Linked DNA regions of Mus musculus: regions 2 and 3 are each reported to be linked to region 1. The links are microRNA targets in miRTarBase. Many come from high-throughput screens and were not tested one by one. Region 1 holds a microRNA gene; each other region holds the end of a gene's coding sequence.

What was found. The annotated mature microRNA mmu-miR-568 reads AUGUAUAAAUGUAUACACAC and lies in region 1 at 1,299-1,318, opposite strand. An mRNA with a match to its seed (bases 2 to 7 or 8) in the 3' UTR can be bound and repressed. Matches are read on the target gene's strand: a 7mer-m8 pairs with bases 2 to 8, a 7mer-A1 pairs with bases 2 to 7 and ends in A, and an 8mer does both.
Region 2: the mRNA of Nufip2 is a reported target of mmu-miR-568. Seed matches in the 3' UTR shown: 7mer-A1 at 2,362-2,368, 7mer-m8 at 916-922 and 7mer-m8 at 618-624.
Region 3: miRTarBase lists Cir1 as a target of mmu-miR-568. Seed matches in the 3' UTR shown: 7mer-A1 at 2,309-2,315.

Annotation. Positions count from the first base shown.
Region 1 is chr16:43,638,722-43,641,982 of GRCm38, reverse strand. It overlaps Mir568 (microRNA 568), which reads right to left and starts at 1,328; the gene lies at 1,246-1,328. It also overlaps a transcript of Tigit not described here.
Region 2 is chr11:77,708,970-77,712,230 of GRCm38, reverse strand. Nufip2 (nuclear fragile X mental retardation protein interacting protein 2) reads right to left here. Exons shown (of 4, transcript NM_001024205.2): 4 at 1-2,548. The coding sequence ends at 2,496. Among named protein-coding and RNA genes, the nearest start is that of Cryba1, 15 kb to the left of the region's middle.
Region 3 is chr2:73,281,831-73,285,091 of GRCm38, forward strand. Cir1 (corepressor interacting with RBPJ, 1) reads right to left here. Exons shown (of 10, transcript NM_025854.3): 10 at 2,042-3,205. The coding sequence ends at 2,530. Among named protein-coding and RNA genes, the nearest start is that of Sp9, 12 kb to the left of the region's middle.

The sequences.
Region 1 (3,261 bases):
GATGTGTGTATGTGTGTGTGTGTGTGTGTGTGTGTGTGTGTTGATGTGTGCATGGATTTCTACAGTGCAGACTGAGACAGCAGTGTTCCACACCCACCTGCAAGGACAGCCATTCCTCCAGCTTCTCTTGGGAAATTATTCTTTTGACTTAATGCTCTCTCCTTTCTTGCCTCCCACTTCAAACTCTTCCTCAGTGCCCCGTTCATCAGTCTGAAAAGTTACCCTCCACTCAAAATTCTCTGGGAAGTGGAAAACTGCACATGGTGTGTGACACCCACAGAAACATCTGAAATATCACTTGGACAAATGAGTTATGTTTGTGTGTGTACATCATGTCTGAATATACAGTGTGTGTGTGTGTGTGTGTGTGTGTGTGTGTGTGTGTGTGTGTGTGTGTGCATGTGTATGTATACACAGTAGCAATTGCAAAAAGGGGACCATATTCCTTCCCACCCTAATATACAACGTGATAAGGGACATTTTTCCGTGCAGGGCAGGGTTTCTTCGAGTCTTATCACAACACTGTGGTGGGCAAATCAGAAAATGAGTTCACCTTCCAGCAGTCACCACGGTAAACGTCATTGAGAACACGCATGCTCAGATGTCTGGTCTGTGCACATGTGTGTGTGTTAACAGCTAGCTATTCAGCCAACAGTAACAGAAGACAGCAGATAGCAAAATACGTCAATAAGGTGCTCAAAGAAAAAGGTGGCACCCACTTGTCAAATGGATGGCCACGTTAAGGTGCTTCAAAAAGAGTTTTAAAGTTTTTATTTCAAACGTTGAGAGAGTTCTGGTTTGCACATGGTAGTTCTGAGCCAGGCCAAGGGTTTTGAGTTTTCTGACATCTTCCTACTGAAAAGGACTTTCACTGTGGTTGTTTTGTTCACTTGGATGTGGTCACTTGAATCTAAACCATTTTTAATAGGCAAAAATGAAAATCAAATCGTCACGACTAACAGAAAGAACGGATGAAATGGTAGAGAACATTACTGCATTCCCATTGGATCAAGATGGTCTGTCCCAGTTTTCCTCAATTGCTAACACTGCTCCTTGTTTTCCTTTGTTACAATCCATTCCTTATGAACACACAGCAGTGACCAGCGTCACCGCAAGTGGCTGTTTTTATTGTTTTGTGATCTGCTGCAAGAGTCCAACCTTGTTTCCTCTGCTGCTGTTTGTGAAATGAGCATCTGGATTTGTAATGAACACTTGATATGCTATGTGCACCTGTGTGCGTGCACACACACCTATACCTGTATAATACACACACCGCATATATGTGGACATATATAGAAGTGTGTATACATTTATACATAATATAGTGTATACTGTTTCAACTGGAGATATGCTGAACTGGGTTCAGACACTAGCACGTTTATCTTTCTCCTGTTCCCTCTGTGTGTTTTAAACAGTCTGGAGCTTTTATTTATTTTTAAAGTGCATTTTTAATGCAGAGTAACTATAATCCACTGATTCCTTGGATAACTTTTTTTTTTTTTTTTTGATGAGAAAAATCTGACGGTTTTCAGCCCCAGGCAAGAGAAACCAGGGTTTGGTCTTGCCAAGGACTGAACGTGGCAGTGCCAGGCTTGTGCCTGAGTGATTACTGGGCATTCTGGACTCCGGGCACCTCAGCAGCAGCAGCAAGCAGCACCTTTATGAGAAGGCAAAGACAGGAAATGAAGAAGGAAGCAATGTTCAGAGGAAGAAGAGTGTATTTGGTGTTTGTGTGTGCATCTCTGTGTGTGTCTGTGTGTGTGTTTGTGTGTGCATGTATTGCACATACTCACATATGAGCATTACTAATCTTGACTGTGATGGGCTTGTGCAGTCCCTGTGTATTTTCAGCCATCTAGTTCCTCCCCTACCAACTGACCCCAATATCCGATGGTCCCCACATGCTCAACTGTCACCTAGAGGTCCTCACTCCTGGGGCTGACATCAGCGTGTGTTCCTGTGGGCATGTGAGTGCCAGCATAGAATAGGAATAAGGCACCAGGGAAATCAAATGTCATGAGAGAAAGCAAAACCCACTTCAGAGCCCCTTCCCTTGTCCTTTAAAAATAGTGCGCATGACACCGTTCACGTGTGCACTTGAGAGTGTGCCATACACATTTTCTGAAAGAAACTCAACCTTGAGGCCCTTCAGCACCAGAGAGCTTTAGGAGTGCACCCTTGTCTATACCGCCCCACCCCCACCCCACAAGCAGAAGCACCGAGTTGGGAGAACGAGGCAACTTGCCTTGCTCACCTCACTGTGATAAAATAAGAACAATAAAAAAGTCTAGGAAATAGAAATTTCAGGAACTTCTCTAAAATCAAGTGGATTAGGCTGTCGGATTCTGATTCCTTGATGCTCTAAGTGTGCACAGTGACACGTGGAGGGATTGAGATGTTTGTGTTTAATATTTAGTGGGGGAATATGCTAAAAAAATCTCCCAGTTGATGCCTAAAAATCCTCTCTTCCACAAACACTTTAACCTTCCCCTTCTACTAAAAACAAAACAAAACCCAACACATTGTAAAAAAGGAAGAGGTTCATTTAACTATAAAAGGGAAAAAAATGAAGGCACATGACTTTAAATTTAGTCCCACAATCCTTAAGAAAAATAGTTTTTTTTTTTGCTTGTGTGTGTGTGTGTGTGTGTGTGTGTGTGTGTGTGTGTGTGTACACGCGCATGCGTGCGCGCTCGCGTGCATGCGCGGGATTTTGCATGAAGTATGAAGTCCATTGGACAGTTACCAAGAGAAGCTAGAAGAGAAAATGAGAGAATTTGGGACAGAAAGAAGAAAGGAGGAGAAATGGAGGCCTCTCTTCAGCTTTTTGTCACTGACAGTCTTAAAATTTGGCTGCTTTCGGGTCCAGAAAACAATTCATTTGTCTTGGTCTGGAAAGTGCCCCAGTTATAAATATCTCCAGTTAATCATGTTACAGCTTTTGGTGTTTCCCTTTTCCCTTCCCTCCAGCCAAATGATTTTTTTTTTTTTAAATATCACAGTTTTTAAAAATTATTTTTTCAATGTTGAAAAAATATGGAAAAGCTATTGAACAGCCTCAGGGCGCACTGCCTCTCCATCTTCACAGTGAGCAGATGGATGGACGATCCACAGAGTCAAAGAGGAGGCGGGCAGCAAGAGCCCTTGTGCTGAGTGGTCCCTTGCTTTACCTCCTGAGGGCCGGGGCCTTCGCAGCGCCCACAGCCGTGTTTTCTGCTTGGATCCCACCCCCTCCCATCCACGGAACGTGGGCTGCTGAGA
Region 2 (3,261 bases), not on the chromosome of region 1:
ATTCAACCTTGTACGACATAAACCAAGGAAATATATTTTTGTTTTGTTTTTGTGATTTGTGCAACAGAAGAACTTTTAAATTCCAGGCAAGCAAAATGGACATTTAAAAAAAAGTGGGGTAAGGATTCAGCCCTAAGGCGACAAGTGGTCACACAAGGCAATTAAACACACAGCAGAACTTTAAAACCTATAAAACAAACTGGAGCCTCGTTTTTCTTTAATCAAGATTTTTTTTTTAAATTTTCTGAAAATTTTTATTAAAAAAAAAAAAAAAGAACACAAAACACAGACTCAGTTCAATATGTGGCGTGTTGCATTTTCCAGTTTGTTCAATGCTTTAAAGCTCAAGGATGCCTCACTGATGTACACCGGCCTGAAGCATCCTAGCTTTTGGCAAGCAGGCAGGAGACTCAACAACAAAAACAAACAACAAAAACAAAAAATCAAAATAGGAACAAAGCGACTAAATGCAGGGCACATCTGTAAACATATTATACATTTGAAAATTACAATATCAGTAAAAGTGATACAGTTTACAGGTGAAATGAAACTATCTGAAACTGGCCTACCACAAGTTTCTGAACCTGGACTGATACAATAAGTTATTATATATATTATGTATAAAAAGTTTTGTTTACATCAAGTGGAATTGGCAATCCATGCTTATACTTAAAAAAAAAAAATCTAAGCAGGGCAGAAATCCAGACTAAAAAGTATTTTTCTCTGCAGTAAATCAAATAGCTTCTTTCATGAACATTTGTTAAAAACCTGAAATAGTTAACAAAACCAGAAAATCCATCCACACTACAATCGCTCAAAACTGGACATTTCTTAGAAAACAAGAGTAAAAAGTAACTACTTTCTCCCCCAAAAGTGTCTAGGGGATCCAGTTTGCCTTTGTTAGAAGACTGCAACTGTATAAATGCCCTGCTAGTTTAACTTGTATTTGACATACATGGATACATTGATTTCTCTGTATGTGTTATGTGTGTGATGTGTTGCTACATCAGGCCAGAGAACTTGTTTTTATGCCACTAACATCACCCAGTCTTATATTGGACCCTTCGTTTCTACACACACACACACACACACACACACACACACACACACACACACACACACACACACACAGACACAGACACACAGACACGCGCGCGCATGCTATACACAAGCTGCAGCACAACAGGATGGTAATGCGATGATAAGACAGGGCTAATGCTCTTTCTGCCCAAAACAAAATTCAGAATTTCACATTATTTTTCTTAAAAAAAAAAAAAAAGAAAGAAAGAAAGAAAAAAATAACCAAAGGAACCCAATCTTGCTCTAATGATAAAATATATTAAGATATAATCAGAAACAAGTAAGCTCAGAAGCAGAATTTGCCTGAAAACACACCTTCTACAATCAGGATTTATTACCTCCTCACTGGCTAAAAAAACAAGACAGTTTTCATTAATTTTTTTTTTCTTTTTTCGATTTTGCTGAGAAACTGAAATTAAAAGAATTTACAGAAAGGTACATACGTTTCTCTTAAATGGTTGATGAAAAACAAGAGTATACACTTAGTGTTAGTGACAGAGAGCAAGTCAGAGCACCTACAGCAGAAAAGCAGAATATATTTTTGCTCCCAGTTACACAATTACAATGGGTAATTATCAGCCAATTACTTGTTCTGCAACTTTTTTTTGAATGACACTCTTAGATGTTAAAAGTCCAAACATGTAACCAAAGTAAGTTAACTATATACCCACAAACTATTCCAGGATTGTAGAACTTCAATGCCCTCCCCCTGTCCCCACCCAACAAAAAATAAAAGGAAAGGAACTATTTCCCCAACACCCCACATAGGCTGCAGAACTCTTGGCAAGACATGCAAATCATTGTATTAAAACAAACAAAAAAAAACCAACAAAAAACAAACAACAAAAAACATCCCTGCAAACTTCAAGGCATTTATCCAGCATTCTCGCAGGGCTCAAAACTAAAAGATCAAGGGTGGAGTAGGGGAAAATGTTGAATCATTCTGGGTTCCCCGTGATTAGTGTATCACTTTAGTCACAGAACAAGGTACAGATACCTAGAAGTAAGTGGATTTGCCTTTCCAGTGGGTCATTTGTTGCCCAAGTAGATGACAGCAGGAACTTTAGAACCACGCTTGTTAAGTCTGTATTCATTAATCACTTGCATTCACACTTAAAAACAAAAACTAACAAAATAATAAAGAAAAGGACTATTCAGTACCGGAGATTAAATAACCATGTGTAGTCTCTTGAAATAAATTTGATTCCTTAAGAAGTCTAATTACTTTCAGTTGCCTTTTTTTAAATAACTATATATATATATGTATATATATATATATATTTGTATATATTATCCTGTGATTCTACTTATGGTTCCTCTGCTGCGTTGAAGATCTAGGAGCATAAAAGCCTTGTGTCCCACATGAACGGTGGCTCTAATGCTGCAGAAAGATTACAAATAGGCAGTCTGGTCCTTCATTGATCTGGACTATCCATGGCTTCATTGTAAGTGATTATCCTTTTGGGATCTAGAGGCAAAGTAAAAAAGTAAACTAATTAAGCACATTCAAAACAAAACCCAGATACAAATCACAAGCAATCATTCAACTCTTCTGATTTTTCAACCGGAACTGTGGCTGCTCAGCACTCCAAATAAATTCCCAACAACAGGTGCTCTACCACCCAGAGAAGACTTCAACCTCTAGAGACTAACCCTTTCCTGTTTCAGTTCCTTTAGTAAGGCGTTTTCCTTGTGATTCACCTGATTACAAAAGTAGGAAATGTAAAAAGAAGAAAAAAGCTCAAGTCATAAGATAATTTAATAGAGAAATTCTTGGGTTTATTTTGTTTTTAGCAGGAATTTAGCAAGGTCTCATGTGATCCAGGCTGGTCTCTAAACTTGCTGTGTGGATGACCTTGATTGAACTCCTAATGTCCCTCTTGACTGTACTCCTGCGTCTTTCTGCCAGGTGCTGCATGTGGCATCATGCCCCAGCCGAAAATTTATTTTAACCACAGTGGGATGTTCGGCAAGGAATGGCTGGCTCAAATAAACCCTAACACCAAATATTTCATGGTAATAATCAACTAAATCACCAATTACTAGCTTAGTTGTAATCACTTTATTTACTCCTTATTTCCCACAATATTATCTAAATTTTTTTCTTCTTCTTTTTTTTTGTTTTTTTGTTTTGTTTTGTTTTTTCGAGACAGGGCTTCTCTGTGTAGCCCTGGCTGTCCT
Region 3 (3,261 bases), not on the chromosome of region 1:
CCCTATTTGGGCAATTATTAAAAGAAATTATGACTAATTTACTATGTAGACATCCAGATAAACAAACCCCAACCTAACCACCCGCTTTCCCCTGGTCATTTGTAAATCGACAGTGCCTCCTACAGGAATTATCACGTCACCGTTGCGTTAAACAGGCTAGGGAGAATTGGAGCATGTCCCTAAAATTCAAAATTTGTCCAATACCTTTGCATACAGGTTCACATCGAGGGAAAAAGTGTCGAGTACCCAGATTTATTTAAAAGATTTTCTCTATTAAGGGTAAGAAGAATGACATATTTCATGTCTGGATTTGTGGAGTTTCCTTTGGATTCATTGAATTTAGAGGATTCCTCTTAGGCTACTTACTAGATCATGCCCAGTCCCATGCCTCAGTATCGCCAGCACATGCAGACACAGTGAGCTTCGGGAAGGCTGTTGTTCCATGTTTGTGTGTGTGAGAATGCCTCCCCTTCCATCTGTAAGTCAGAACAGGCCCATTGCGGTTGTCTAGCATCTGTGGGTGGCCAAGGCCCAAACCTAAACTGCAGATGCACATGATCTGTAACCACTGGGAAATTTCTCTTAGAATTGGGTGGGTAAGATTAGCCCTTTTAAAATTATTCCCTTATGTTTTAATATTCTCAACAGGAAGGATTAAATTAGAGATTAAAATAAAAACCTTAGGGGCTACCTTGTAAAGTTAAGGGTGGTATCACATTTTGGTGAAAGTCAAAAGTATAAGAAAGTGTATTTCTTTAATTCATTCTTAATTATAGGATGCATTTCAACGTTTTTCTTCATGAACACTATATTGGTTTGGAACCCTCTTTTAAGGCAGTAAGTATTGCATAGGTTTTGACATTACAAAAATTATAAAGTCTAAAAAGGTGTACGGCAGGAAATAATCACTGCAACACTGATGAACTCGGTGTAAATTAGCCTTTATCAATTTCAAATGCATGCTTTTCTAAGTGAAGGAGTAGGATCTGAGGTGTGCTGAGATAGTAAAGGATATGGGAAGGAGTTCAGCTCCTCTCTAGTTCCCTTCACGTGCATAATCAAAGGACTATTTACATCATAGATGCAGCTACATCACAGGACATCTGTTTGTGTGCATAGAGAAATATTAGATATGGAATAGTTTGAACTCCTTCCAAATTTATTTTCTTACACTACTTGGAAATTGTGATGGCTATCTAAACCATTTTTGTACTAGACAAAATAAAAAATAAAACCCTGATTTAAAAAAAATACATTCACAATAGGCAAAAAAGTTTTAGTTGCATATAATCTGCATTTTTTATTGAAAATTTCCATAGTTTTCTCTTCTTCTAATCCTTTGGAACATATGGCAAAATGTATAGCTAAGTTTTTAAAAAAAAACAAAACACCTTATATGTTGGCTTGGTCTACATAGTGAGTTTCAGGCTAGCAAGAGCTACATAGTAATGGGAAGACCCTGTCTCAAAGAGAAACCGTTCCCTCCACTCCCAACATACACCTTTAAATACAAAATATCTAGTTTACATTATTTCTTTGTAATATGTTTTACCTCCTGAAGAAAAACTTTGCAATGTCAACCAGAAAGGCTATTGTGGGAGGAGACAGAATAACACTCCCCTCAAGATATACATGTTTCCAACCCCCCCCCCCCGCCCCCTCCCCCAAGCCATGAATATGTTACATTTACAGGTGCAAAGTTAAGGTTGATAATCAGTTGGTCTTAAATGTGGACCTGCTATACTCACAGGGTCCTTACCAAGTGAAGGAGGGTGCAGTTAGTGTCAGACTGACTCCAGGACTTGGAAACAGGGGAGTTCTCTTCGTTAGAAAAGGGAGCCAACCACCAAAACTGGGCACCATGGATTTTCTGAAGGAAGACATTCTACCCATGCCTTCATCTTATCCTAGTGAGACCCATGCCAGAATTCTGATTTTCACAACTGTTAAGTTTGAAGTGATTTTGTTTGCCAACATAGACAAATAACAGGACATCCAATTATAAATATCATACTTTTAAAGTCTTAAGGACATGCTTTTTGATATCCAGTATTTTATTCACCCTAGTCAGTTTCAACAATGATTACATTTTGCTTCAAGCATATTCAAATCTTAAAATAACAAATTTGAATTGATAATTATTCAAGATTCTGTCACTGTTTTAATGGTGTTTCAAAACAACAACAAAATCACACAATTACGTACATATTTTAAATCTGGTATAAGGCAGAAGAAACAACTACCAACAAGAAAACCACCACTACCACCACCATCACCACCACCACAACAACAACAAAACAAAAACTACTTGTATACCCTAAATTCCCTGCAAATATCTGCAAACTTAAGCTTGTGGTACAACAGTGCTTTAATACTTGAAACAACAGTTTACAGAGATGGAAAATGAATTGACTTTTTTTATTAGATAACAATGTGTATGTTAGCCCTTGCTAAAGATGTCCTTGATGCCCAGGTGGTTGCTCCGAAGCTCTGTTGAGCCTGCTGCCTCTCCCTTTATCTCCTGGGCGCTCAGCGCACGTGCTCTCTTCTATGGTCACCTTCACCATGGCTTCTGGTGCCCTTTCTTCCCTTCTGCTCTTCACTAGGGCTCCGGTGTGGCCGGCTCCTCACCTCCCTGTGCTTCTGACGGTAAGGACTCCTGCTTCTGCTTCGCCGGCTGCTCTCAGCCCGGCTACGGCTCCGACTTCGGATTCCCCGATTTCTGTCAGACCCTTTCTTCTCTGGACTGTGCCGGTGGCTTCTGGATGTCCGGTCAGAAGCAGAATGGACCCACATGCTATTCTCCCCAGAACTCTCTTGTTTTGGAAACCTTAATTTTTCCTGGGCTTTTCCCCTGTCACTGTGACTGCTGGAAAGTTCTTCGTAAAGCATGTTCTTAGGCTTGTCCTCCTTACAGTCACTGGATTTACTTTCAGAACATTTGGTTTTCTTCTTCTTCTTCCTCTTCTCTTTCTCTCTTTTCTTTTCTTTGTTATCACTCTCACTGCTGCTATCTGATGTCTCCGAGGAGGAGGAAGAGGAAGAGGAGGAGGAGGAGGAGGAAGAGGAGGAAGAGGAGGAAGAGGAGGAAGAGGAAGGGGATTTGTTTTTACGTTTCTTGTGTTTATTTTTGCTCTTCTGTAACTTCTTCTTTTTCTTATCACTTTTCTTTTTCTTTTTTTTCTTTTCAAGTCTATCCAATTTCCTGTAGTTGGAAAGAAATAGTTCTTTCATCAACAAAAAAGAAACTGTTAACAGACT